3 linked regions of the Mytilus edulis genome follow. The protein of the gene in region 1 interacts with the protein of each later gene in a biochemical or structural test. Links are inferred from orthologs where the notes say so. Each region holds a gene or a part of one and is shown in the gene's direction. Other genes may lie near its edges.

Evidence for each region. The genes of interacting proteins can lie anywhere in the genome.
Region 2: the proteins of leucine-rich repeat serine/threonine-protein kinase 1-like (region 1) and serine/threonine-protein kinase Nek1-like form a complex in vitro, tested with the Homo sapiens proteins (2 studies listed by BioGRID and IntAct, with this or other methods). The link is inferred for Mytilus edulis from reciprocal best matches to the Homo sapiens genes LRRK1 and NEK1.
Region 3: the proteins of leucine-rich repeat serine/threonine-protein kinase 1-like (region 1) and proto-oncogene tyrosine-protein kinase receptor Ret-like form a complex in vitro, tested with the Homo sapiens proteins (2 studies listed by BioGRID and IntAct, with this or other methods). The link is inferred for Mytilus edulis from reciprocal best matches to the Homo sapiens genes LRRK1 and RET.

What each region holds. Positions count from the first base shown.
Region 1 is NC_092347.1:2,554,507-2,562,507, forward strand, and holds the start of leucine-rich repeat serine/threonine-protein kinase 1-like, read left to right. Parts: upstream 1-4,733; 5' UTR 4,734-4,814; coding exon of another isoform or gene 4,815-4,863; 5' UTR 4,864-5,674; coding exon 5,675-5,723; intron 5,724-7,553; coding exon 7,554-7,798; intron 7,799-8,001.
Region 2 is NC_092351.1:3,607,217-3,615,445, forward strand, and holds the start of serine/threonine-protein kinase Nek1-like, read left to right. Parts: upstream 1-5,091; 5' UTR 5,092-5,335; coding exon 5,336-5,452; intron 5,453-8,229. Other genes in the region: NADH dehydrogenase [ubiquinone] 1 alpha subcomplex subunit 2-like, read right to left, coding at 416-522, 3,508-3,599. UniProt on the Homo sapiens protein: Phosphorylates serines and threonines, but also appears to possess tyrosine kinase activity. Involved in DNA damage checkpoint control and for proper DNA damage repair.
Region 3 is NC_092352.1:57,427,185-57,435,628, reverse strand, and holds the start of proto-oncogene tyrosine-protein kinase receptor Ret-like, read left to right. Parts: upstream 1-5,306; 5' UTR 5,307-6,095; coding exon 6,096-6,135; intron 6,136-8,444. UniProt on the Homo sapiens protein: Receptor tyrosine-protein kinase involved in numerous cellular mechanisms including cell proliferation, neuronal navigation, cell migration, and cell differentiation in response to glia cell line-derived growth family factors (GDNF, NRTN, ARTN, PSPN and GDF15).

The sequences.
Region 1 (8,001 bases):
AAATGCAGTTTTTGCTTTATATCTTTGAAACTAAGACATTTAGGGCAAATCTTTCAAGATTTAAATGTCCATCAGAATAAGATCTATCCCCTCACAAATTTCAGATGAATCCTACAACCCACTGTTGGGTTGCTGCCCTAAAATTGTTAATTTTAAGTAAATTTTGCAGTTTTTGGTTATTATCTTGAATACTATTATAGATAGAGATAAACTGTAAACAGCAATAATGTTCAGCAAAGTAAGATCTACAAATAAGTCAACATGCCCAAAATTGTCCTTTATAGTCAATATTGAACAACTTTTCGTCATTTTTGTAACTTGTACAAAAATCTTCTTTTCTAAAACTATGGGCCAGATTTAACCAAACTTGGCCACAATCATTACTAGGGTATCTATTTTAAAAAAAGTGTCTAATGACCCCCGCCTATCAACCAACATGGCCGACATCAGTAAATACAGTAACAGGTGAGCAACACAGGCTCTTGAGAGCCTCTAGTTTCAGAATTATGTCCCTTTATAAAACAGAAAATAGCTTACCGTATTTTATTGGTTTCCAGACATAAACTTAAGAAGGCATCTACTATATCATTTCACATTTCATATTTGAAATTTTGTTTTTGAATTTGACCAATTTCACATTTGATTTTCATTAGGTATTCCCCTTAATTAAACTAGCAGGACAAAGATTATTTTTTGTTCATAATGTAGATTCAGTTTATATTCATTCACTTTTTATGATTTCAGAGAATTTCAGAGAAATCATATAGTTGATAAAATGGGAAATAACCTTTTTTTTGTTTATGAAGGATTTATTTAAGTATTAAACTTAAAGTAAGCTTTAATTTACCAAATCTATTGAAATTTGTCAACCACAGAATCTTTTTGAATTTGACTGATTTTACTTTTTTCTTTTGAGAATTATGCCCCTTGATAAAACAGAAAATTGCTTGAAATTGTATTTTAGAATCTAATTCTCACCAAATCATCTATGGAATGTTTTATGGGTTTACTAAACATAAAGGTCCAGTTCAATTTTGTCACTTTTATCTCAGGAACTTGAAAACAAAGATTCCTGAAACTTGGTATCAGGCTTTCAGTAGGGACTTCAATCTATTGTTTGGTGCTTCTTCAGATTCATAGCTTTTCAACTGCTCTGTATATTCTGACCTCTTAAAATAAATGTTGTAAAAGCAAACTAAAATCTCAATGAAAAATAATTTATTAAGAACATCGATTACTTTCTTACAAAAAAATAATTTCCCACAAAAAATTAACTCTCGTGGAATTAATCATTTATGCATGTATAGAAATTATGATTAAAACGGTACAAGCTACCAGATAAAATTTAAGGGGGTAGACCTTGGTTCAGGGAGATAACTCTTTAAATCAGTTAAGCGTTTGTAAAAGTCAAGTTCATCAATGTATTTTAAGCATTTACCTGAAACAGATTGAAAATAATCTATGTAACCTAGAAGCTTAGAATATGTTTTTTGAAAATGGTTGACACAAACGTACTGATGATTTTAAGAGTTATTTCCCTTCACCTAGGTCTACCTCCTTAAAATATGATTTTTTTTGTTCAATCATTAAGGAAAGTGAAAAAATGAAATTATAATTCGCTTTAAGCAGCAAGTCTGGTTTAATTTTGTCGAAATAAGCTAAGAAATATTGACGATGAATTATTCACTTGCAAGTAAACAATTCAATTTCATTGAATCTGTATTCATATCACTTCAATTTAACCCCTTTAGATAGAAATGAATAAAAATGAACTGTGCGTGTAAAGTAAGTTAAAGGAAAAGAATGTCAACATTGAAAGTAAAACGAAGGTAAATTATTTGATTGACTGCTTCGATCCATTAAAAAAATCATTCATACAGGTAAAGACAATGATTAACATTTATTTTTAATCTATAAAATTAAATTAAACAGACTTAGAAAAATCCAATTGCATCATTTTGATATCTATTTATAACTATATTCATGTGTATATCGCTTATCGGAGGTCAACTAGATAGTTAATTAGATGGCTTATAGACTAAAATAGACATAAACAAAGCTACATATAATTGAGTCCATGCCCTGTAAGTTGTTTATTTTAGCCTTTTCACATGATTTTAAATCAAATATGAGAATTTGAGTCAAATCAGTAAACACAAATTTGACAGCTAGTGCCCCCTAAAGAACAAAAAATGTATACTTAGTTGTATTTCAAAATATGACGCTACAAAAAACTGATGCAGGAAAATATTTTTTACACATATATAAGTTAAAATTTTTTCAATTCAACAAACATGCTTTACCAGAAAATTTTTGGTGGAAGAAGACTTCAAGTCTTCTGAAGGCCAATGGTGCTGACTTAAAATCATTGATTCTCCGTATGCTGCATTCGTTTCTGTATATTACAATTTATTCCGTTAAATATTTCGGTTCCTGACACCGATTTAACATATAAAGTAAGCATCTGAATCATTTAATTTGTAAATTAGGATTGAAAGACAATCACAATCGTAAATATGTACCCTTTTATTTATGTAAATTATTAGATTTCATCCCATCTACATTTGTTTCCTTGTAACCGGATGTTTTTACTGTCGATATTTGTAGTACACATGCCTGAATTGGGTATCGGGACAACTTGCCCTGTTTACATGTTTGCCCTTGGTCTGTTCGTCCTGAGTTCTTTCGCCCGTACAGCCCTGTGTTCATTCTTTTTACTCTTATCAAGGACGTTTATAATAATTCATTGCATTTATTAAAAAAATTTAATATTAAGGGTATCGTTAAAAAACCCTCTAAAAAACGTGTTCCTTGTAAAACAAACGTGTTCAGCCAATCAAATTCTGTGTTACTCACGATGAACTTGTGTTGTTTTGATTTTATCCAAACTCTGAAAAAGTGGTGACATCTAACTACGCTTCTTTACATTGTTTGTAGAGAAAGGGAAGTATGACCCGAACGATAACGCTGTATGGAGTGTAGTTTTCATCTAGTTGTAAAATCGTGAAAATGGCATGTGAATTTTCATCTGCAAGCAGGTTCTTACACAGCTGAAGGATAAAAGCATGGCTGATTGACAAAATTCAATGATGCATTACTACCATAAAGATGATTAATAGTATTTTTTACACTAATTTTTTGACATAATACATGTTGTAACATATTTTATTTTTGTATTCAATTAAATCATTTAAAGGACAATATACTATTTTTTCTTTCACGAAGACCCCCCCCCCCCACCCATTATGAGTGGTGTCCTTCAAATGAGGGACTGTCCCTAAATCAAGGTGTAATTTTACTGTTGAAAAAAATAAGAAAGAACATTTTTAAGATAGTGGGAAAATTCATTGTATTTGGAACAACTTTTCGAAATGAGGGTTCAAATTAATAAAAAAAGATGTAAGTTTATAGAAACATCACAAAATTTTTTTAACATGTTTTGACCAATTAAGACTTGATAGATGCATAGTTCTTAGCGAAAAGTTTCATCAAATAATATGAATATAAAGGTGCTCATTTTTTACAGTGGGTTGTAATGTACTTCCAATGAGGGTTACCCCTCATTTGGAGTGTTGTTCCCAACCTGTTAAAGGTCCATCTTTGTGCATAATTCAAAATTGGAAATTTCAACAAGCATCTAATATTCTTACACAAGAAAATAAACCCTGGTCTGCTGGCTACATGTTCATCTTTTCTAACGATTTAATAACTAGAATCATGCAAACAGACTTAAGAAAAAGGCATGTAAGTTCATCATACAAATATGACACTTTTTCTAGACAATCCAGATCGTGCACTTAGCTAAAAATTGTAACCTTTAAAATTGTTGTCCCGCACTAAAAACCCTGATGGGAACTTTCAAAAGTTGGCAGGTATGTAACAAGTCTTACTATTTTTATGCCCCATTATGGGCATTATGTTTTAGTCTGTCCGTCTGTCCTGCTTCAGGTTAAGGTTTATTGCCGAGGTAGTTTTTGATGAAGTTTTTTAAAGATTTTACCAAATTTTCACAGTCCACTGAACATAGAAAATGATTGTACAGATGGGAAATCCATGTACTTATGACACATTCTTGTTTGAAGAAAAAAATCCAAAGCAGGCTGGGTTAGTGGGGCTGCTTTTATGGTAATTCAAGTAAACTTTTATTCACCTTTTTCCACCTCAGAGCTATCAGCTCTTTGATTTATATATATTATTTTATTGCATGTAGTTGTGGCAAATAGGTTCAAAATATTTCAGAGTGCTTCACAATATTATATTATATAGAGCTGTTATATATTATTCTAGCTCATAATAATTAATAAAGGATTAATATTTTCTTACATTAGAATAATTTTTATATAATTTGTAGACATTTGATATCTATTTATCGATATATCTTGGTTCTCCACATGTTTGTGGAAAATGTTAGGACCACACTATAATTATACAGGAGAGTATACTAGTTTAATGATAAAAAAACCCCATTAAAACTAAATTTACTGAATTGAAGGAAAAAAATAGTACACTTTTAGCTTGATTACTGATGCCTAAATATCTGTCACATAAAATAATTAGTAAACTCATTATGGGTTAAATAATTAGGACATGCACAATGCATTTTTTTCCTGTGAGTCTTTACAAACTAAAACCCCCGTTTAATGTGGGTGAATGGATTTAAATCTCAATCTTTGAATAAAGTACTTCAACTGTTAGAAATATGTGTATTTAACTCATTCAGGAAGTATATCTGTCTTCCTATAATGTGTACACACAAATGACAGATATTTGTGTTAATACTTAGGTTATTTTAAACTTGGAAACCTGTGCATGCGATGTGGTTCGTTGTTACAATATTACATATAAAGAATATAAATGACAGCCGTACGTATTGCTGTAAACTTTTTACACTTAATTGCAGAGGAATACATATTTTTATACATGTGAATCAACATCATATTAACATCTAGGAAGTAGGAACATGTGCTTATTTATATAGACTCAGTTTTCAAGTTTTGATGCAGATGCATGGATTTAGTTTCTTTAGGATAGTATCTAAAATTAGCAGCTCTGTTCAGACTTTGGAATTTAAAAGCAATCAAGGAATTATATAAGTAGTTTTATATTGTTTGAGAAGAAGTTTTTTATTGATTGAGTTATATATACTGGTACAGACATTGAAATTATAGTTATAAAGATTATAATGAAATGTGATAGATACATGTGTATTAAAGCAGAAAGATGTTGTATTGAAAGACTTCTTCTCCGTTTTATACATAGTACCACAATTACTAATGAAGTGTCAAAGTTTGACCTAATCTACTAAGACAACCTGACAATGTGAACTTTTAATTTGTCTTAAGATATGACTGGGATATATATGTGTATAATCAGATAAACATCAACGATAATATTTATGATAATTGATATTTGATAAAATGTTAACAAGACATAAAATGTGACCAACCGTCGGTGGTGTGTTGAAGGGATAAAGTAGATTCATCTTTATTAGCTATTTTACAGGTTTGAATAACATTGGCATGCAGGAATATACTCATTAATATAGATTATTAATTGCATGAAGTCAATTATAAACTTTCTCAGATGTACCATTATCAAAACTTAAGTTGAAGTCAGAAAATTCTCTAAAGTTGTAAATTTTTATGAATATTCTAACTGAATTACCCAAAGGAAAATGGCCAGATATTCAGAATTTACTAAAAGAGCAAGTCAGTGGATCTATGGTATGTTCAGTTGTTATCTGAGAGTGGTATATACTTTGTTTGTTTTTAAAATAGATAACAAAAAAACATTGTCGTTACTACTATGATGTCTATATATATATAATATACTATAAAACAATTTGACTTTCTTTTGAAGACATCAAACTGTTTTGTAAACCTTTGATGTACTCTAAAAAAAAATTAAGGAGTATGAAAGTAAATATATACAATGACTTCTGTATTGATCTATGTAGATTTTTACCAGATTTATAATGCAACACAAACTATACTTAATATTTGAAGTAGGCATTGAGCAAATAAGTTTACATGGTATGTTACCACAGTTTTGGATAGGGTTCATGTTGCTTGCAGTCTGCAGTTTTCTATCTAGTGTTTTGTTGTTTTTTCTTGATTTTCTGTAAATTTAACATGTTTAAACTATGGCAGGTGTGTTAGTAAGTTTGATTCATTTTATAACTAAATGTAAAATTGATTCGATTTGTTATGAATCTTAGAAAACCACAATAATGACCTCATTTGAATTGACATTTTCATTTCCTGAAAGTTATAATGTAGTGTTAAAGATACTTCATATATATATTATTAAATTTTTAAATTCTTTCATCCTCTTTTCTTATTTTCTTATTTTCATTTTTACATATTTATGTTTTTTTATCCTGAGAAAACTTGAAATATGAGTAAATTGCACCTGTCCTACTTATAACCTGAATGACACTAGATGCATTTTTTAAAGTGTTTTCGAAATATGAGAATTATTTTCCCTATAACAATGTATAATTAACATGATTAAGTAATACATTTATATTTTTGGTAAAGTACATCATAGTTTACTACTCCTTTAAAATCATATGGAAATAAAGAAAGAAAGATTTTTCATCCATGATATAATCAACTTTTAAACAACTATACAAATTAAGCCTCAATGGACATTTAAAGAATCAAACTTTAGCATAATTCTCTGTTTGAATCTGTTTCAATGTTTTTACAACATAACATTTATGTAAATCCAGTTGAAAATTTTGAGGAACGGTCATACATATGATTCAAAGAGCCTGGCATATTATCAAAGAAACTTGTTCTTGGCTTTCATTTGTAATCAGTTACATTGGACACTGGTCACTTCAAATAATCATTTGTAAAATAACCACACCACACATTAGATATTAGTCAAGGTCAGAATACATTTCCTGAAAGTCAAATCTTTTAGTACGCTGGCCACTTCAAATAATCATATTTAAAATAAACACACCAAACATTAGCATGATTAGATTGTGTCAAGGTCAGAATGCATTTCCTGAAAGTCAAATCTTTTAGCATGTTTAGTATGAGGTTATGGAATCAAAAGAGGTTAGAATATTTTACAGAACACATTAGATTCTGAAATTGATTCTGAAATGATGAAATTTCCTAATGAAAACAGAAATAGCTAGTTTAGATAGAAAGTTTTTAAAGACAAGATATATACCATAAAATTAGATGGGATACATTTCAAATTCAGTAACATACTTGATATTAATCTCTATGGTTCTGTGCTGAAACACTGTTAGTGTATGTATTAATGCATAGATCTACTGTAGTTTTCGTTTGTTTTCATGAGTATCTATTTTCGACGAAAACTTGCGTTTTCATGGATATTTACTTTCGTTTTTCCAAAGTCTTTGAACAATTATAATTCATTGAACATTTAAATTTTCACCTGTATACCCCAAAACTCAAAAGATTTGTATTAAACGGAGTATAATAAAGCCACAGTATTTATAAGTTTGTTAATTTTAATCAATAATATATCATCAATTATCAAAACTAATAGACCAAACATTTCATTTATAGATATGGTGAATGTAACAAATATTATAAGGTTGATCAACTCTGGCAATGCTGAAACCTTGGAAAATGGACTGGTCAGTGTACTGGACGAATGGGAGGATAGTGGAGATGACCGTGATATCCTAACAGTACCGTTATTTGAGGATTTACCATTACTGAATTATGCTTGTACAGTGGAAGATATTTGTGTTGATATTGTGATTGTGCTTATTTCTAATGGTTGTGATGTAAACTTGCCTTCTATAGAGGTAATGTATTTTATTATGCCCCTCCCACCATAGTAGAGGGGCATTTATGTGTTCTTGACTATAGTTTTTTCCATCTCTCTTCCTGTTGTCCCTCCCTTAATCGATCTGTCCTGTATGGGGTTTAAGTTTTTATTTAAAGTAAGTAAACATTTTGGTTTAGGTTCAAGGGAGATAATTTGTTTAAAAGCTAATGGTTGCAATGT
Region 2 (8,229 bases), on another chromosome or scaffold:
TGTTTTGAAACGGAGCAAATTTTTAATTTGATTTGACTTTTTTGATTCTAGCGTCACTGATGAGTCTTTTATAGACGAAACGCGCGTCTGGCATAAGTGTAAAATTTTATTCCTGGTATCTATGATGAGTTTATTGACCAAAAAAAGTATTGTAGCAAAGGAGAAGAATAATTGTGGTCTGAGGCAAGAAACACGAAAATAATTGAATTTAACAGAAAGGAATCAAATATCTGACTTTGGAAAAAGGTAGAGCGCTTTTGATACCTTTTATGAAATTATCTTTTACAAAAAATCATCCTACAACAGTTCACAAGCTGTATATGCCCGCGATTTCGCGGGTGTGTTCTAGTATATATATATATCAAAAAAATAATCATGTACATGTATATTAAAGAAAACTAAAAAAATAACTAACCATATCTAGCATAGACTTTTGGTTGTACTCCACTACATTCTCTAATTAAAATAGGAAATTTAGGGTTACTCTGCTTAACACCAACATAGTAATTCTCTATGAACTCTCTGAAATAACAACATTAAAATATACAATGTATTACAACATATAAGTATATATTTTGATTTTCCTGTCATTGGAAAGTTACTTCACCTTATTCAATGTTTTGAATAGTAAAACATAATTTGTCACTGGACTTCAAGCAGTCAGGAACCTGTCATTCAGTTTATTGATGTGGTTCATATGAGTGGAATGGACTATCATTAGCATAAGGAAGAAATTAAATACCAGTCTAGTTATGAATTTTGACTTCATAAAATATTAACTTTATAGAATTTGACTTCATTAAATATTAACTTTTTAGAATTTAAACTATTCGTCAACCAAAAGTGAGATTCTACTGGACTTTTACAGATTCTTCAGATAAAAGTGTTTCTCAATTAAAAATTATCTTTTTTTATTGGACTGTGAATTTTTTTTACCCTGGTCATTTTGAGCCACTTTAATAGCTTGCTGTTCAGTGAAAGAAAAGGCTCTGTGTTGAGGGATGTACCAATAACTATTTTTTAGATTTGATAGATTTGTATATGACTTTCACATGTATGTGTATATTCAAATAAAAACGATGAGTCTTTGGTGTGGGACTTTGTCAAAGTCCATACCTGTTAAGTCTTTTTGAGTGTTAATACTGTTGATTTCTGAATTTGAAGCAACTTTTTGTACAAAGTCAAAGGACAGTAGTTGTGCAGGAGCGCATGATTTTCATTTGAAAATTGCTTGTCTCCACCAGGACTCGAACCTGGGACCTCTGTGTTACAAGTCAGCCTGTTAACAGACTGAGCTAAAGAAGAATTGAATCTGGGAACGTTCGCGCTCATTCACATTTGCTCCCTTTCACTCTCTCCCCCTACACATTTGCACCCTACATGTTTGCGCCCAATTTCTATTGGTTTTGTGTTCAATAACTTTGTAGTCATGATTTGGCAAGTGTATTCCTAATGGCTATAAGTATATTTGTTGTCATTGTCTCAAAATAAAGTGAGACAACGTTTCTTTTGTAATAAATAATTCTTAACCATGTTTTGGATAGTGTATAGTTAAAAAAATATATAGTTTCTAAATAAAATGAGATTCGACTAATTTTTTTGTTGTTGAATAAATTTTAATCTTTTTTGGTTCATTTGTGGTTAGTATATTGCTATAATTTTTTGTTTAATGATCGCTTTAGAACAAAGTGGTAAGCTGTTAAAAACAATTATCCTTTGTGTTTTTCTTTTAAATTTTTCAATGTTTTACTCATACAAAGCTAAATACATGCAGGTTTTACATCATATCAATTTAAAACAAGGCACTGGTTACGGTTACATGGAAATGTAACAATAATAAAATAATTATTGTTACATTGGAGACTTATTGCCAGAATACAGGATGGGGTACGGATCCGATTAATTACGAATGTAACAATAATATTTGTGTCTGCGGTTACATTGAGTTATTGTTGCATTACTGCACTTCAACGTACGGTAGATTAATTAAACTTAAACTAGCCTTCCCTAGTTTTGTTGCTTATTTTTTTCGCCAATTAAGAACAACGATTAACGAATGAATGTTGGCAACTGTTAACATTAATTGCATTCAAATTGACTTTTAAGTTTTATAAGTTTTTCAGCTATGCTAAGTTGGATATTGAAATCAGAGCGATGTGAACATAAAATCATATAATAATCCACAATAGTCATTCGTTAGTGCAGAATGGAATTGTACAGTATGCAATACTGACGTGCACATTGCTGCATCACTTGTATGTATAAAGGCTGCTTAGAGTGGTTTCACCAAAATACGTCGGACTAAAACATGCCCAAAAAACTGATACATTACTAGTCCCAGCGTACATTGAAGTGTATTTATGTAAAAATAACGCAATTAATGAAACCGTAGACTCAATTACTATTGTTAAATTCGTAATTAATGGGTTCCTTACCCAGCCCTGCATTCCGGCAATTAGTCTTCAATGTAACAATAATTATTTTATTATTGTTACATTTCCATGTAACCGTGTGAACATATATTATGGGGGAACTTATATTCTGTCACACACGTTCGCGCCCAATTTTAATTCAAATTCCAGTTGAATGATTGGAAAATCATGATTGTTGTTTTAAATTTGCTATGGTGTAAATACTGAATATATTTAGCTTGGTATGAGTAAAACATTGAAGATTTTAAATGAAAAACACAAATGATCATTTTTTTTAACAGCTTGGTCTCTTTGATCTGAAACAACATAAACAATGAAACAATAAAATATAGTAATGCACTATTATAACCAAAAAATGATCAAATTTATTCAACACCCCCCAAAAAAACGTCGTCAGAATCTCAATTTGTTCTGAAACAAGTCAATGCAACAAAGTTATTGCAATTCACCTAACCAAAACATGATTAAGAGTTGTTCAACACAAAATAAAACGTTGACAGAATCCCACTTTATTTAGAAAGGATTTTTATTTTTTTCAACAATACACTATCGATAACACGATTAAGATTTATTCAACGCACAAAAAAAAATGCTGTCTTACTTTATTTTGAGACAATGACAACAAATATACTTATAAGAATACACTTGCCAAAACTTGATTACAAAGTATTAAACACAAAACCAATTAAATTGGGCGCAAACCTGTAGGGTGCGAACGGACTTTGGGTGCGAAAATGAAAGGGGGCGAACATGAGTGGGTGTGAAAGTGAATGGGCGCGAACGGACCTGGATTCGGCTAACTTACAGTACTCAGTAGTACTAGTATCTACTACATTGTCTATGCCATGGAAACCTTCCTGGACGGGTATTTGATCGGCATTTCTCTCAAAACATTTAAACCCTGGTCATAGTATAAAGAACTTGTTCAATTACTTTAAAATGAAGATATTTTTGGTGAAGGTCACATTCTATTTTTCGTAAGTCTTTATAAAGAAATGCAATTTTGCAAGTGATTTTGCAAGATATGAGCAGCTTATGTTATTTTAAATATGAACTCATTATATTAGGTTCGAACCTGACACCCTGACTTGCTGTAGATTTCTGGCATAAATGAATTCTCAGCTCTTTTAAACTCTGTCCAAAGCGAAGTGCTTTAGCAGACGCCATTTTCAGCTGGTTTGTAAATGTAAGATGAAATGGTGAAACGAAGACAACTATTTTGGAAATATTTATTATATAAAATAAGTATAATGAGTATCAGAAATATTTGGTAAATCAAATAATTGATAGAGGCAGCGATATTGAATTTAGAAAGAATACTATTCTTTTACACATGTTACATTGTTATGTTCGTTTTTTATGAAAATCTTAAATTTGTATTAACGAAACTATGGATGATTTTGGGGTCTCACTAATTAGCGACAACAAGCGTCAAGAAGCGACAACAAGCGTCAACAAGCGACAAGAAGCGACAACACATATTATTTTAGCGACAACAAGCGACAAGAAGACTATTTAGCGACAATAAAACATTTTTTTTTTATTAGATATAAAGAAATTTGTATTTAATGGGTTTTTTAAATATACGAGCAGATATGTCTAATTAAAATGTTTTATTATATAGATAGACGAAGAAATGAAACATTTGTGAGAAAGAAAGAGATTGTGAAGTTTATATTTAAATAGTATATTGGTAGAAGAAGAAATTTGACTTTTGTGAAAAAGAAAGAGATTGAGCTTCTTTTTTTTATTTTTAAATATGAAGAATATGTATAAAATAATGTATGTATCTGTTTTCATCAAAGTCAAAGTATGAATAAACGAATGGAGATATATATGGAGCGGGCATAATAGAATATAATATTTTGATTCATTTGCTTAATACTATGCTCTAAGTGTACTCTTGTTATGTCAATTCGATGCTTTATTTGTAGAACTCTCAGCCACGCTTTGCCATCTTTATTATTTAAGCGTGTACAATAACATCCAATTAACACCGTCAACTTTGTACACGCGTCAGACTATACAATTACACGCGCCAGAATATACAATCATTGTAAATAGTGAACACCTGTTGAAAACTCAAGATTGTCATTAATTTCCTTTCATCTTCAATCAATATGCATAAACATGATAAATATCGTTTAATGAGGCAATAAACAAATAAAAAGATGAAAACATTCACATTTCAATTTTCTTTTCCTCCTGTTTGGTTTCAGTTCTTTGTATTTCACAATTTGTGTCAATATTTTCAGGACAATGATGCACAAGTAATTCATTTTGCGAGCTTAATACATATTGCACGAAAAGAGTTTTAAAAAACAAATTATAAGATAAATAATATGTTCTAAAACACAAGGAAAAGTAATCTCATAATACAATGATTAAACGTAATACTGGCTGTTATTCATAATAGATGATAAAATATTATGTAAATAATGTTTCATTTTTTTCTATCAATTTTAACTTTCTTGTCGCTAAAATTATTTTCTTTGCATATTCTTTTAAAATTCATTGCAATAATTAATTTTAATTACAAAAAAATGTTTTCTTGTCGCTAAATAGTTTCTTGTCGCTTGTTGTCGCTAAAATAATTCTTGTTGTCGCTTCTTGTCGCTTGTTGACGCTTGTTGTCGCTAAAATTCTTGTTGTCGCTAATTAGTGAGACCGTGATTTTGTACACTTCCGCTGAAATTCCACTTTTACGAAATATAATTTTACATCGAATATTTCAATGAAATGAATTTTTCTTTATAGTTGTACCCACCAAGACATTTAAACCAAATTCAATTTAGTTATATAACATACAGTTTTACATCATGGTCCATCAGAATTTTTTTAATTAATCTCAAGAAAATCGAAAGTAATGAAAGAAAAATAAATTTATCAAAAAGTAAATAAACATGGAAAAATACACCAAAATTAAAAGTATAGGCGAAGGAGCATTTGGCAAAGCATTGCTTGTGAGGGATAAAAGTAATGGTCAGCAGTATGTCGTTAAAGAAATTCAAATGTTGAGGGTACAGTATACATTTTAGCATGTGTCTTCTTCTTCTTCTTTCAGTACAGAGTCTGACTCTTCTTGAGTGTATAAATGACTCTTGCTCGTGAAATCATGAGACCTTCCCTCCTCACTTAATAAAAACTATTTACAGGAAAATTATTTACAAATAAAACTATGTACATCTGGGGTCAAAGGAGATCTAGGTGTGTGAAGCTCCTGTCAAGGCCTCTGGCAGGATGGTAAGGCTGGCCTTGAACTCTTCTAGTGGAATCCGGGTCTGTTCGCACCCAATCACGTTCGCACCCTTCCACATTCGCCCCCCACATGTTCGCACCCAAATTTTGCAAAAAGTTCGTTCGCACCCCACACGTTCGCACCCAATTTTACCGATTTTTTGGAGGTGTATTGGTATGAATATATATGCCATTGTTTCTAAATAATTCGAGATACTGACAAGTTTTTTTGTGTCATGACAAGATTATAAAAAAAAAGTCCTTGTTTTAAAGTCGGAGTGAGTTGAATAATTCTTAATCGTGTTTTGGTTAGTGTATTGAAATAATTTGTTTTTCACTGGTTCTAGTCAATTAAGTGCGAATCTGACAACATGTTGAACAACTGGTATGCTGCTGCTTTTATGCATGGTAAGTGTATTGCTATGATTAATATTTATTTTATTAGTATTTACATCAAAGCAATTTAGAACAACAATCATGATTTATAAACAACAGTAAACAATAACACCAATTAGGCTGTTTATAAATACCAACAGAGACATATAATACGTCTCTGATACCAATTAGCAATAATCATACATAATCAACATTTAATAATTAATCATCAGATTGATAAAAAAAAAATCTATTCAATAAATTCTCAAATTTTATTCAAATAGAATACAATTATTTGTTATATTCATATGAATAATTTCTAACAATTTAACTTAAATTTTATTAAAAATTGGGCGCGAACATGTAGGGTGCGAACGGACGTGGGGGGCGAAAATGTGAGGTGCAAACGTGTAGGGTGCGAAACTATATTGGGCGCGAACGGACCTGATACCCTTCTAGTGTAGCTGCTATTGTGGCTTTTTCCGGTAGAGTGTTCCATTCCCTGGTTGATCTTGGGAAGAAGGAGTACCTGTATTGGTCTTTTAGTGTGCGCTGTTGGTGTATGCGGTGGCCTCCTCTGGTTGTTGAATCTCCGGGTTTGTAATAATTAGAGGGGTCAATATCCACCAATCAATTGTGGATCTTGTATGCCATGGTGAGTCGGTCTTTGCAGCGGCGATCTTTAAGAGGCACCCATGTGTAGCGGGGTTGCTTCCCCTCCTTAGTACAAGTAGAACATATAAAGCCAGTCTTAATCAACTGAGCTAGGGAATCAATTCTTTGGCTCAATGGGTTAACTGACTATCACACAGGCGACTGGGGTTTGAATCCCAGTGGTGACGATATAAATTTGTAGAGTAGATACATTTGTACATGCTCTCCGGTTACACATGTTTAGTACACCAATCTAAGATTCTTTTTATGAATGAGTTGCAGTAGTTGTCCTTAAGTTCAAATGGTGTAAACAACTTAATTGAATAATTGGTTCCTACTTTGACCATTGACATAATAACATTAGCATTGTGGCAAAGAAAATAAAGGGGAAAGAGCACAAATTTGAAATTCGTCTGTTGAGTATTGACATTATCATGCACCATTAATCGCTATTTGTCCTTAATCACAAAGGTTTCTCCTAAATTTTGATGTCACGATAGATAATGTCTAGGACCACAAAGGAAAAGTGATTGTTGTATGACGTCTATCATGTCTATTCATGCTATTGTTCAAGTAATGAAGTGTCACTGATTCCGAAATATAAAAGTGATAAATTCTATTATATGTATTATCATGATTATACTTGTAATTTATAAAATTAAACTCCATGAGGTGTACCAACATGACCAACGCCTGTGTGAATCATTTCGATAGAGTCCCTGAAGTGGATACCTTGGTATGCAGGGTTGTCAAATGAATGCAACATTAAAATAATACACAAGGCAAGGTTGGAAGAGAAGCCTTGCGAAGTGGTAGGAACCATGGGAAGTTCGTCCAATTAGATACCAAGCCTTAGAACAATTTCATGTATCATATAATAGTAAAACAAACTCAAGTTACATTTTAAACAAACTTTAATTTTCTATATTTATCTTATCTATATATAACTCTGTATTGCTACTTTCACTTTTCATTGTTTCTCTCACCATGACGACGTCAAATTTTATGCACCACTTTGAGTACTTCAGGGATTAATTTCTGTATAAAAATTGTCCTGATGAAGCCTGCCTTGCAGGTGAAACATGTAGACCATAGCTAGGAAGAATCTTAGATTGGTGTATTTAAAAAAGGATATTAAAATTACAAAAGAGGGCTGCTAGATTAATACTAGAAACAGACCCATTCGCTCCTTCTGCACCCTTATTCAAACACTTAAACTGGATGACAGTTGAACAGAGAATAAAATATCATAAGTTAGTGATGACATTTAAGTGCATTAAAAATAATGCCCCATCATATCTTACTAACAAGTTTCATTATGTTTCAAACAGAAATCCATACCCCTTGAGAAATGCTGTTCAAGGAAACCTCATACTCCCTAAACCAAAAACAGAATTGTTCAAAAAATCTTTTATGTATTCTGGACCATTCTTGTGGAATAATTTGCCAATACCGTTAAGAAATATTACAAATGTTAATTCTTTCAAATACAAAATAACAGATCATTTATTGAAATCAACCTAGCTGTATC
Region 3 (8,444 bases), on another chromosome or scaffold:
TTTCTGGGTAATTTTATTTCGTTGCGCAGAAGTATTCAACACACATAACGTGGACATATACACGGCTGGTAATCTACACACGCAGAACTTTGGTTGTGCAATGAAAACCGTGAGAGGATTTTCCGGTTATGCTTGAGTGGAGCAATTGTCACCGCTTCGAAAGGTATATACATTTCTATATCACAATTTTCTTATTCGACTGATCAAAGTATTGAAAATTGGAGAATGCTATGCTGTGGTGAATACTTAAACAAAAAGATACATGTATCATTTACTGTTGTACGTGGAGTTGAACTCCTACAAAATCAGTTGCCGCACGAGAATTTGCCTAAAAAAGTGACATTTAAATTTTAAAATGGTTCTAATTACACACCCACAAGTTCAAATTTACTTTTTATTCGGTCAATGGGTATGAATGTCGTTTTGGAAGGCGTGGACGCTGTCCGGTGTTGATCGACATCTTAATAAATCTAAAAACCTCATATTTGCATTATGACATGCGTGAGGGGATCGGTTCTGATTGAGGACATCGTAAATGCGTGAGGGGACGTGAAACCATAATATTATATCCAAACTATGAGTATTTTAAAGTTGCCTAAATGTGGTCAGATTGTTCATGAAAAAACACATTTGTGTGCATAAACAAAATTAATGAGATAGAATTTTGAAATACATTTTGGGAAGATAGGTTTTACGAACAATAAAAGGAAAAATTTTGTCAACGATTTGTTTCTAGCTACAAATAAAAGTTGAAAAATTTCTTATCAGCCCAGTATATATTTTTTACGAAAAGAGTTAACTCCCCTTGTATTGCGTATTTAAAAAAAAAATGGATCGCGAAAACACAAATTTTGATATTTAGTTGAATATTTTGATTTATACAATACATCACAAAGTTTTCTGTATATGAATAAACAGTCTTACCAATAAATTGCAAATATGTCTCCAATAAAGGCAACAGTAGTCCACCGTTGTCGAAATTCATAAATTGATTGAGAAAAAACAAATTCGGACTACAAACTAAAACTGAGGGAAACACATCAAATATAAGAGGAAAACTACGACACAACAACAACATAACTTTTAACTTTAACACACACAGAAACGAATTACAATTTAACAATAGCCATTTTCCGGACTTGGCACAGTACATTTTAAGAAAAAATGGTGGGATAAACCCGATTTTGTGGCATGCCAAACCTCCCGCTTCTTCGGCAATGGTAAATATACCAGTTAAAGACAACATTACATGACAGGACTGCAATACAAATAAATGATAGAACATATAGGACAGAGAAACACTCCAAATATAGCTAACAAAAGGTACCAGGTTTAAAAAAAAACACTTATATATCAGACGCGTCTTTCGTCAACACACGGCTTAGTAGTGACGCTCAGATGAAAAAAGTTTGAAAGCCAAGACAAGTACATTGAGGACCAAAAGTTCCAAAAAGTTGTGTCTAATACGGCTAGGGTTTCCGCCTGGAATAAGAACATCCTTGTTATTTCGAATAATTCAAAATTTTGCAACCAGTGATGTTTTATATAATGACTATAAATAGATATACATGATAAAATCGAAGTGGTGACTGACTACACAATATAAACGGATACATAAAATTACCTAAACCAGCAAATAAAAATTCACAGCCGAGATAGCCAAAACCATAAACGCCCAAAGTGACGTAATATATGAATTTCTTAAACAATATCCCAAAAATAGGATAGACAGAATTCAGGATTAGATTTGCAATACTGATTTAACATTTATCAATAACAATTAAAATTACAATATTAATTAATATCAAATTGTGGTAGTAAACTATCGATTATTTGCCCAAATCCACGAATTTGGACAAGTATTTGAAATTTATTGGTTAGACTTTTATTCATGAAAAGAAAACATGGTCATTTATTGTTATTTCAAAATTCTATCTCATAATTTTTATTTATGCACACAAATTTGTTTTTTCATAAACAATCTAACCATATTGAGGCAACTTTCAACGACTGATAGCTTGAATATAGAGAAACATGTATGATTTCAAGTCCCCTCACGCATTCACGATGTCCTCAATCAGAACCGATTCCCTCACGCATGACAAAATGAAAATATGAGGTTTTTAGATTTATTAAGATGTCTATCAACTCCAGACAGCGTCCACGCCGCCCAAAACGACATCCATACCCATTGACCGAATAAAAAGTAAATTTGAACTTGTAGGTCTGTTAATAGAACCATTTCAAAATCTAAATGTCACTTTTTTAGGCAAATTCTCGTGCGGCAACTGATTTTGTAGGAGTTCAACTCCACGTACAACAGTAAATGATACATGTATCTCTTCGTTAAAGTAATCACCACAGCATAGCATTCTCCGATTTTCAATATTTTGATCAGTCGAATAAGAAAATTGCGATTTAGAAATGTACATACCTTTTGAAGCGGTGACAATTACTCCACTCAAGCACAACCGGAAAATCCTCTCACGGTTTTCATTGCAGAACCAAATGTTCTGCGTGTGTAGATTACCAGCCGTGTATAAGAATTCTTATAGTTTTAAAATCGAATTCATCTAAACTTTGCCTGTATTTGTCAACCTATAATGAATAAAGTCATACACTATGAGAATATATGTTCATTTAAACATACTTTACATATAAACACTATGTAAATTGTAAATAAACTTGAAATTGTAATGTTGTGGCCAAACCGGTTCTTGGGGTGAACACCAAATTTTCAAAAAAATCTTGAGGCCTGCAAGACGACTAAATTTGCTTAAAATTGGTATGGACGAATACTGTTACATGTAATGCAGATGTTTATGAAGTGTCCTATATTTTGACTTTAGTGGAACCTTAAGCCTGACAATTGATATTTTAATGTGTGTTTTTCAATGTTGTGATGTTATGCTATTATTTCAGAAAAAGGGAGGAGAAGGTTTGGATCCATTAAAACGTTTTAAATCCGCTGCAAATGTTTGCACCTGTCCTAAGTCAGGAATCTGATGTACAGTAGTTGTCGTTTGTTTATGTAACTTATACGTGTTTTTCGTTTTTTATTTTATATAGATTAGACAGTTAGTTTTCCCGTTTGAATGGTTTGACACTAGTAATTTTAGGCCCTTTATAGCTTGTTGTTCGCTGTGAGCCAAGAATCCGTGTTGAAGGCCGTACATTGACCTATAATGGTTTATTTTTTAAATTATTTGGATGGAGAGTTGTCTCATTGGGACTCACACCACATCTTCCTATATCTATTAAGTTTTTTCTTTGAAGTTTTCTTTAGATTACATGTGCATAAAGACAAGTACTTGACCAGAGTTACCCATAAACTATTAAAAAGTTATTTGAAATTATATGTATGTTTAAATTTATAGTTGAACTACAGTACCATTGTAGATTCAATAACTACAAATACAACATTAAATGATTAAGCTTACACGAATTGATCGATTGTGCCACATAAGACACATCTATATTACATCGCTTGGATTAACTGACATTACGAGATTGGGTTGATTCAAGGGAGCAGTTAAAAGCGTATCGAGTATATATCAATATACATGATTAATATTTGAACTCTAGATACATTTTTTTTGGTACTCGCTTTGAACTAACTTTCAGTATCTGCGAGTTCTCTTGCATCTGTACTTTGTGTTATATTATGGATGAGAGATAGATAAATACCTGGCCAAGTCCAGTCTGTGTTTTTGTTAGATGTGTTTTTGCTTTGTATCGATCTGATGAGTTCAGCCTTTTTTCAACTGATTTTTATAGGTTGTTCTAATGAATTTTTACGCCTCTATATTGTTCGATTACAGCATTTCCCCAGGTTAGAAAGATGGTTGAACGCTCACAAACATGTTTAACTCTGCACACATTCTTTAAGTTCATGCCCCAAGTCGGGAGACTTATTCAGTGGTTGTCGGCGGTTAATTTCTGTCATATTAGTTTTTGTATAAACCCGTTAGTTTTCTCAATTGAATTCAATGACACATATTTTTCATGCCGTGGCCTTTTATAGAAGATTATATTTTTTTCTCTCATTGTTGAAGGCCGTACATGTACCTATAATTACTTCCACCCACTTCATTTGAACTTTTGTAGATAGTTGTGTCCTAGTCAACCATAACGCATCCCCTTACTTTAACAGAGAATATTTACGGAAATTTAATAAATAAAAGAGGCTAGGCTGAGTGGTTTCACCTCAGGTAAAAAGGCTTAAAACAACGGGTGAAAACGTCATATACGAATCGGTTCCGGATGAAAGCAGGTATTAGAATAATTCAGAATTATGGACTTCCCATTTTGAATTCTCGGAGTTCGGTATTTTGTGTTATTTTACTTTTTTATTGACATATTTCACAGACTTTACATCCATTCTAAGTGAAAAATATTCCTTATTTTAAACAAAGTCTTAATATTATCAATCATATTAAACAAATAAAACCGATTTCTCAATTTAGATTTTATCTATTCAAAGTGAGCACCTTTGAAATGATAATGCGAAAATATTGTGATTCTCAGGAAATTAAAGAAGAGCTTTACAAAATACGGATTTTTTTTTTGTGTTATTAAAATTTGCTGTCACAAAATGTTAGAAATTATTATAAATTAAGGAATGTATCTCCCTCATGCAAAGCTCTGATTCCTTTCACGGATTTGGCTATACTTTTTGAACCTTTTGGATTATAATAGCTCTTCATCTTTTATATAAGCTTTGGATTTCAAATATTTTGGCCACAAGCATCACTGAAGAGACATGTATTGTCGAAATGCACATCTGGTGCAGGAAAATTGGTACCGTTAATGTTATTACAACAATACTATTTTAAAAATATTATTCTCACCGATTTCACTTATTCATAGCCAGTAAATACGACGAAGAAAATCACATTAATATGTGTCATTATTTTGTGGAATTGTCTCAACCGCAACAGAAGTTTTGCAAGCTGTTGAATATATTAATACTAATGATATTTCCATAAAAAGTCGTCGCAATCCTCTTTCTTTAAATCGTGTCATTCAAAACAGAAAATAGCAACGATCGATACATTTATCAAATTTTATTGACAAATGCATCGAAGTTGTCAATTTCACTCAGGTAATTAATTTACCTTTACCATTGATTTGAAATGTAGTTTCCCCTGAATAAAAAGAAAATGATGCCCTTAAACGTGAGTTACGGGACGATTTATTTTGTATTCTGATATTAATATCGATAAGGAAATTGAAAACAAATATTGCATGTATCTAGAAATGTGATTTCATTCTATTCATTATATATAATTATTGTGACACCCACCACTGTTCTATGGTTCATTTATTTATTGAGAACTGATTAACTTATCGCTCTTTCATCTTTGCTCTGCATGGAATCTATCCAGCTGCAGTGCTGTAAAACATATTCAATAATATTCCGAGTACATTCTTACGGCTGTAGATAAAGCCTAATCTGAATTCAAAGTCATAAAATGGAGTTTTGTTGTAAACCCTACACGATACCCGCTCCACGCACTCCTGAAAGATACATTACCCATCAGACCGTAGCCATGATTGGATTTCAATCAGTTAAAATATTGACTGAATGTTAATTTCAAATATGAACAATATAGTACCTGTCATTATTGCTGAAACTGATAGGCCGATAATCCAATAATTAAGTCGGTTCGTAGGTGTAGAGAAAAATATATTCAAGTGCATGTAAATGATAAAGAAACGTTTAAATACGCTTTTGACTAACCAACAACGAGATCTTTATTGAATTATTGGTAATTTACACTTAACGATATTTGGGGTCCGGTTAGCGTTATATTATATGAACATATTGAAATATTTGCTTTCATTTGCTACAGGCTTTATATACTGCTCCGACCACACGAGGATTTTTAACAAATATCAATAATGAAGTAAAACTCTAGGAATTGGTTTTCAATTGGAAAAATATTTTATTGTTGACTTTTGTCGTATTGACAGGTGTTGCGCTATGAAACACGGAAAAATGTACTAATACTTTATACACTGAAAAATGAATTGTAAAATTGTTACTTTTAACTCTTAGAAATGATTTGTGAACTTGGATAAGGATATACATTATGAGATACTATATTTTGTGTTTACTTGTCCTATTTCAAGGTAAGTCTTTGCTCATTTTTCTTAATTTCAAAAATTGTCGACAAAATGACAAAATCGATGGATTGTTTTATGTTTTTACTTCTTTTATGTATGGTATTGCACTGAAACGTCCTATGATTCACTGAGTTTCATTAATTGCATTCAAATCATCACACCTGAAAGACTTCGCATGTGGAATTCTGAATAAATAAATTGTTTTGGAGGATATTGGAAATATTATCTATAAAATTGAACACGCAATGCAAACTTGATATTAGCTACATTGTACTCGTCTTAAATTCATGTAATAACACATATAGTTTTTAAATAGTAGCTTTGTCATACGCCACACACACACAATTCCGGGAATTTATTGACGTTTGAAGTCCAGTGGAATACCAACGTTTTTAAGTCACATTTTGATTTTTAAGGCCTCGGTGACCGACAGGTCTTATAAATTGTAGTCTATAATGTATACAGTTATCTCTTTAGGTTTGTCAACTCTGGGGTTTAGAGTTGGAACCCCGTTCGTCTCGAGTTGTGTTCGACTACGATTTTAATTGACAAAGATAGCCAGTCTTCTTGTTCAAAATCGGGGATCTTTCAAGGTACTATGGCTTCCTAATTTTACGACAAAAAATGTCCACCATGGTATTGCCGTGGTAGCTAAAAGTGCTGTCAATCACCGGCGCACACAGATATGTGTTGTAAATAATTACTTTCTAGTTCAAAGTCCACATGAGTTTCATGATAACATCTTCTAAATACACTCATAGATACCAGGATTAAAGTTTTATCTTTACGTCAGACGCGCGTTCCGTCTACAAAAGACTCACCAGTGACGCTCGAATGAAAAAATGTTAAAAGGCTAAATAGAGTACGAAATTGAAAAACATTGAGGTCCGAAAATTCCTAAAAGTTTTGCCAAATACAGCTAAGGTAATCTTTTCCTGAGGTAGAAAAGCCTTAGTTTAAAAAAAAACTGAGTTTAGAAATGACATAACGTTCAAATTATAGTCTTTCACGACAAGAACATTTTTTTTAGTTTACTCGAGTGTTACTGGTGGGTGGTTTCTAGGAAGATATGAAATGTATTTGTACTGAAAAACAGAAGAAAAGCTCGTATAGCCGTTTATACAATGTAGTTGTCTACTCTGTTTAAATATAATTTTAATCCTGCAGTGTTTCATTGAGTTAAAATATGTATTTTCCCCCAAATCAGCACGACTTTATAGAAAACCGCAATTCCAAATTGAACTGTGATGTAAACAGTAATTTGAGCATATTACGTTCGCTCATGACAGAAGCGGGATACCAGCAGACTGTGAACGTATATTTTACTTTTATCGTTCCATGCCATCTGTCACCCTGTATTTGTTCAGGAGAAAGGTCAATTGCAGGATAAAAAAAGATATCAAATAAACAAATTCAAAATCTTCCATTTGGACAATATTGAACTACTCATTGGAATTGAAAAGAAAACAAAAAACACATAAGCAAAACATGTTACCGATCCAAATACAAACTTATCATTTCGGATCAGTTACCTTTTTTTCTTAAAATGCTAGCAAATCATTGCATTACGGACAACTTTCAGAATACCACAACCATGTGGCGAAAAAAAGAACAAACTTGTAATACTTGTAAATTAAGTTGAGAGTCTAGCGCACGTACCATGTGCGGGGTTCGAACTCACAACCTTAGTGTTGATAGATGATGACCCACTTAAACCACTGCCATGTTGTTAACTTTTTTTGTTTACTATGTTTAAATAACGTGTCATTTTTTTGTAAATAGTTTGGCAACCTATTAAATAAGACGAATAAAATATTCATTTATTTTGCTATAATCTCATAAATGGTACCATTTATCACAATGTCTCAATACCCTTAAATGTGACATTGATTTGAAACATTGACTTTATGGATTCAATGCGTTTATGAAGTTAAGTATACTTCCACGGAAACGGTAAACTCATTAATACGATTTCTTATTTCTAAACTTATAAAGAACAAAATAAGGCAATTACAAATAGAATCATTGGGAACTACGTTTGAAAAATAACACTTGACCTTAAGAGTGTCTCGAACTGTTCATAAAACAAATATAAGATTCATCTACGTTTTGGAATAACTCTCCATTTTTAAGTAGGCAATTGCGAACAGATTCGTAAACTTCATTAGCAACTACGTTTGGAAAATAACACTTGACCTTAAGAGTGTCTTAAACTAATAAAAACAAAACGAACATAAGAGTCTTCTTTTGCATGATCACTGGTGTCAACGTGGTGATTGTAACTGCAATTCCGATCATCCCAATATGGCGGACCA